Xenopus tropicalis: one gene and its partner. Each later gene encodes a partner of the first gene's protein in a complex. Links are inferred from orthologs where the notes say so. Each region holds a gene or a part of one and is shown on either strand. Other genes may lie near its edges.

Region 1 (2,423 bases):
CTTTTAGTATGGTATTAAATGCCCTATTCCCAGCAACTTTGCAATTGATTTTCATATTTTTTTTTTTTTTAAATTACATGCTTTTCTCTTCTGCCTCTTTCCGTCTTTAAAATGGGGTCACTAACACTGCCAGACAAAAACCATTGATCTGTGTGGCAATGGTTGGTTTTTTTTCCCCTGTCTATGCAGGCTTTCTCCTATTCATATTCCAGTTCAAACCACTGCCTAGGGTAAATAATAGCAACCAGATAGATGTAAGAATATGAAAACTGAAAGCAACTCAACAAAAAGCTATATAAAAAAAAACAATTATGAAGCCTAATTGCAACTGACCCTAGGGTTGCTGGCTACTAAAAGCACCCTGACTACGTTTACCTTTTCCAGTTTTTTTTTTTTTTTTGGGTGGGGGGGGGGATGGGCAGCTAGATTCTCTTCAAGAACACCAAACATAGCACCCTGACAATAACATTTTACATACTTATTAATCTAATAAGTGAACCACAGTGAACAATTAAAAAACTAACAAGGGTATGTTGTACAAGGATTCAACAAGAGTTGATTGTTTTATTACAAGTGATAAGCAGTTGAAAGAAAAGCCTAGATTAGTCGTACAAGGATTTCGAAGAGACTTCAGGCAAATGCACAAACGTCCTCAAAGTACTTTATCACGGACTCCTGGAATTCAGAAACTCCATTTAGAATTAGCACAGTCCTGCTTTATGATACACGCCTGTTGATTAGGCGGGAATCTCTTGCTTAAGTCCCGGAAACTTTAAGACGAACGGCGATAAGTTTGATCGACTCCAAGAACTCCATAACAGGCAGCCTCAGAGAAGAAACCATCGCCACGCTTAAGAGTCGTCGGGCTTATCAGCTGGGGGCCCACACGGCTGCAGCATCTTCTCCATCAGGTTAAAACGTACCCGTGCTTTACTTTCGTTCTCAGCCACGGCAAAGTAATTGAGCAGATCAAAGTGGCCCATGTAGGAGCAGTAAGAGTCTCTGTGCTGGTTCACCAGCCACTCCCACTTAGTAGTATCCGCATGGCCCGTGCCGATATACTTGGACTGCAGATGCTCCAGTTGGCTGTGAATAGTATATCGGTCTGTCATGGCGATGGCAAGCGCTAACAGCAAGCTCACTGTACACGACTTGGTGTTATGATATGCAGCGGTAGCGCCTTTGGCTTCCGGAGGACAAAAGAAGTCAGCGTGTTACAGCAGCCGGAAGTTACGTTGCTTCCGGGAGTGACCAATATATCGACGCCGACTAAAATAAATAAAGTTTCGTAATTTTGTAGTGTTTTGCTCATTTTCGCTTCAGCGATTGGCCCGCCTATTTCAAGCGAAATCGAAACTCCCTGCATGCTCAGTTGTGGGACACAGGGAGAGAACAGGCGGAAAGCTGTATGGAAAAATATAAAGTGGTTGCAGTTGGGTCAATTCTATAGGAATAAACCATTTTTTGAATAGTAACCTCCGCAACATGTTAACACATGAAACAATACCCAGCGGCATATAGATTACTCGCCTTCCAACCTTTACCTTTAAAGTGATAATATCCGTGATTTTAGCACACAGTCTTGCGATTTATTAAAGTTATATAAAGGCAAGGGTTCAATGTCCCCTCTAATTTCTTCTCAGTTATGTACACAAAAAATATTTTGTGCGCACAGTTTTTAATTTTTTGCATTCAGCATGTGTTTGTAAATGCATACATTAAAGTGATGTTAGAGCCCTAAGGGAGCAACTAAGACACTACCCATTTTAGACATGTAAACTTTGGCAGTATAAGGGCATTTCTGGCACATAATAACTTGGAGAGGCTTTTCACAGGGTTAAACACCGAAGGGTTAAATTGACCTATCAGTATATTCCTCTTGTAACAAGCAAAGATCTATTAAAGAAAAATTATTTTTGCTTGAAAGAAAAAGTTAGAACTGAAGTAGGTAATAAATGTGCTTTAAAGTAATTCAAGCTTGTTGAATCATTTTAGGTCTGTTACACATGGGGGAAATTTGTGCGTTTGATCAAAGTAAGTTGTGCCTGCGTAAGGCAGCATTCTTCATTGCATGAACTTTGTAGTGCACATGAGCTGTTTGCAGATGTAAATGTCACTGATGATGTCAGAAGGAAAATGGCTGCCAGGTAAAAGACACTATTTGCTTTAGGGATATGTAATGGTGCTGACAAACACAGGGGATATATGCAGTACAAATGGAGTTGTTTGGGTGCCCAACTTATATATATATGGTAGGAAAATGTATGGTTTACATGTCCTTTAAATTGCACAAGTGGAAAGTAGGCAAGCAATATTGTTAACAAACTAAATAAAGTAATAAAATAAAAAAAAGAAAAAGGAAAGGAAAAGGAGAAAAAAAATTACCTTAAAATCTGAGGAAAATAGCTCAACAGTAAAGAGTT
Region 2 (3,662 bases), on another chromosome or scaffold:
ATTTCTAAAAGACCACTTCAGCCTGCTGTGATGTACAATAGGACGTATACAGCAAACATACAAACAATGAATGCTACAGAAGACAGAGGGCCTTGGGCATTAAAGCTTGCAATTTGAAAGCTTAGAGATCATTCTAAAATTTATAAAAATGACCAAAGCTGTAGTCATTCCTCCAAACTGCTATAACTACACAAATGGAATGCACAAATCAACAGGAGAACCTGGCATTAATGACCATTCAGTATATCATTTTCAAGGGTAGTTGTCTCTGCTATACCTTAAAAATACTTATCACTAGCCATTTCTGGCTGTACATTGTTGTATAAATACCCTCTTTACCCATGTTGATTTCTTGTAAGGTAGTCAATGGAAGGTTGGTTTTTTAGAAGTTTGGCAATGGAAGGTGATAAGGAAGGCTGCAGGTTAAGTAACACTAAACCACCTAGTGTGTTATATAACACCGCCTACCCATGAGGGGGAAAAAAAAAAAAAAAAATTATATATATATATATATATATATATATATATATATATATATATATATATTATATATATATATATATATATATATATATATATATATATATATATATATATATATATATATATATAAATATATAAACAAGCAGAGTACCGCACACAAAGGGACTTTATGAAAACAAAAAAGGTTTATTGGAAAAATCCGACGTTTCGAGCACTAAACTGTGCTCTTCCTCAGGTTTGTCCCTGAGGAAGAGCACAGTTTAGTGCTCGAAACGTCGGATTTTTCCAATAAACCTTTTTTGTTTTCATAAAGTCCCTTTGTGTGCGGTACTCTGCTTGTTTATTGAATTGTTTGACCAGCACCGAGGGCAGTTGTTTTTTGCTCAGAGGGTGTGCTCCTCTCTGTTCTTGTATATATATATATATATATATATATATATATATATATATATATATATATATATATATATATATATATATATATATATATAGAAACTCACCTCTAGCTGTCTATTCCTCTTTTTCTCCTAACCTCCCCCCCTGAGCTCAGCTTAACCAATACAGTGCTCAATCGAAGCAGAACTTTTTTTTTTTTATCAGTGTGCCTGTGTGAGACTGCATTCTTGATAATATGTACAATAAACAGGGGTTTTTGTGCACATATGCTGTTAGCAGATTTAAATGTAAGTGATAATGTGTCAGAGGGAATATGGCCAGAGGAAAATGTGAAGGTGCTGGCAAACAGAGGGGATATATGCAGTACATATGATGCCATTTGGGTGGGGGTGATGTGCCCAACATATATACATTGTAGCAAAATGTAGGCTTTACATGTACTTTAATATTTGCATTAGACAAAGTCAAAGAAAAAAAATTGAGTTAAGGTGGGCTTTCCTGTAATTATAGGGAAATATACACACCTGAGCTTCTGCTCCCAAATTCTTGTTCACGCTGAGTTTCTTAGCCAAACGCTTTGCAATCTCCAGTTTCTCTGCATTGCCTGCAGTGGGTAATGTTGCATTAGCTGAAGAGCCTGCTCCGACAGCACCACCAACCATTCCTGGGGCACCGGTTGCTGCCGCACCACCAGGTCCCGCCATGTCCTTTACTCTCTTCTTCGAATTGAACATGCTTTCAATCTGCTCATCAATCTAAAAGGTAAATAAAACTTTGAATTAATGCAAAATGCTATAAACACATAACAGATAAACAGTGTACATACTGAATTTCAAATACGATTACTTGCAAATACGGCAAACTGTGGCAATGTCATACTATGAGAAAAAGAAAACGGGGTCAGCTCTTTTATAAAAAGGGTCTGTACAAAAGGTCTCTAAAGAAGAAGAAATGTAAATTCATAGGGATTGCCAGTTTGTGATAAGATCTTTACAGTAGCAAGAGTTACCACTCCTGAGTGAGCCTCTTAACACCTTTGTTCCCATTTAGGTCAGTTGAGTTGAGCGGATATTTATTGTTTCTGCCTTTATGGCCCAGGGCACTTGTGAGCTACACATTGCTATATTAAAGGGGATGTGAAGTCAAAAATCATAATCCTTGTGTGTGTTATTTACAGTAGACCAAATGATGTAAATTTGCAATATGAACCCATTAAAATGCTCTAACTTTTTTTTTAATTAGAAGCCTTTGTATATTGCATCTTATGTTATTCCTCTGAAATAAGCTCTGCTCACAGCCCCTGCAAACCTACATGGCCAGTGGCCATCCTGATATTAAAAAAAGCAGGGACTGTCCTATTCCAGACTTGAACAAAAACGCACAGGATATTGTTTACTGGATTGTCATTGTACATTTGCTGATAAGCGCAGGTCAGGCCCAGGTAAGGAAGTAAAACATGAGCAGAGAGTGAGACAGGCCCACTCTTCATTACACAGCAGACATTAAGGAATACAGAGCTCCAGTTGGCTATGTTTTAACCCTGTTTTAACTGCTTTGCCATCTGATTTTATTTAGAACAACATGTTATAGTGCTTTCCTATCTTGGGGCTATATTTAAACATGGAGTTAAGATTTTGACTTTACATCCCTTTTAAAATTTCAAATATATTTTCCAGGTTTTACTAAGAGAACATAACCATGATTGTATGTTTATTACTCACATCAAGAGCTGTATCTTCATCATCCGAATCCTGCAAGCCAAGTGCTGCTTTCTGCAGTTTTTTCCGCTCGTTGGCCAAAGCCTGTTCGGTCTCATCAAATTTAAAGCCTTTACCAGAGAACCCGCTGGTTTTCTTAATTATCTTTCCTTCCTAAAGAAAGATAAAAGTTAGAATAAAAGGTATAGGATTCAACTGTTAAGGGTCCTAGCATGACAGGGTTGTGAACAGCACTTTCTTGCTGCGTCACAGAGCAAAAGGAGAACATAAGTTTCAAACTTCTATCGATGGGGAAGTAATCCTAAATATAACATTTGGTGTAATAAAACAAATGTTATTCTAAGCGACTATGTAATATACATTAAAATTAACTGTAATATAATTGTAAATTATGAATATTATTGCTACTGAGCAGGATCTGACTGCTCTTGTTACCACCTGCACTACTATTTGACTTTATACACAACTGAAAAAAATTTAGCCGGCTCTCCATACAAATTCCCACAATGCCTTGCACACTTCTGAGATTCTCCTTCTATTGGGCAGGTTTGATTTTCCTACGTATCAGGGGCCGCATTGGCTCATTGATGGGATCCGATGGCGCCTAGGACCAAACCATTGAATTAGCCCAATATCGCCCACCTTAGGTGGGTATATTGGGAGAAGATCCACTCCGTGTACGGCCACCCAAGATTTCATTTTTAAAGTGAATTACTTACTAGAAGGATTTTCTTTTTCTCTGCAATACAACAATACCTTGTACTTGATCAACTATTATAATTAATCCTTATTTTAAACAATCCTATTGTTAAAAGTTATTTTGGATAACAGGCCCTTTAACTGTGTACAATACTTTACCCCCATGTACATAGTCATCTGGATTCAAATGCATAGGGGAAGGGTAAATATCTTACCGCTTTCTGTTGTTCCTTAAATTCATTCCACAGTTGCTCAAGTTCAGCAGGGACTGCCGTGCCAGACAGCTCCAAAGCCTTGATAATATCACCAGCGTAGCGGGCCTGGTCCTCTGTGATGAAGGTAAAGGCATATCCCTGTAAAATTAAG

Evidence for each region. The genes of interacting proteins can lie anywhere in the genome.
Region 2: sf3b5 (region 1) and ddx46 share a complex: the UniProt entries of both Homo sapiens proteins name them as parts of the 17S U2 SnRNP complex. The link is inferred for Xenopus tropicalis from reciprocal best matches to the Homo sapiens genes SF3B5 and DDX46.

What each region holds. Positions count from the first base shown.
Region 1 is NC_030681.2:58,017,409-58,019,831, reverse strand, and holds sf3b5 (splicing factor 3B subunit 5), read right to left. Parts: upstream 1,115-2,423; 5' UTR 1,113-1,114; coding exon 852-1,112; 3' UTR 537-851; downstream 1-536. UniProt on the Homo sapiens protein: Component of the 17S U2 SnRNP complex of the spliceosome, a large ribonucleoprotein complex that removes introns from transcribed pre-mRNAs.
Region 2 is NC_030679.2:26,177,911-26,181,572, forward strand, and holds part of ddx46 (probable ATP-dependent RNA helicase DDX46), read right to left. Parts: intron 3,650-3,662; coding exon 3,512-3,649; intron 2,751-3,511; coding exon 2,601-2,750; intron 1,635-2,600; coding exon 1,404-1,634; intron 1-1,403. UniProt on the Homo sapiens protein: Component of the 17S U2 SnRNP complex of the spliceosome, a large ribonucleoprotein complex that removes introns from transcribed pre-mRNAs.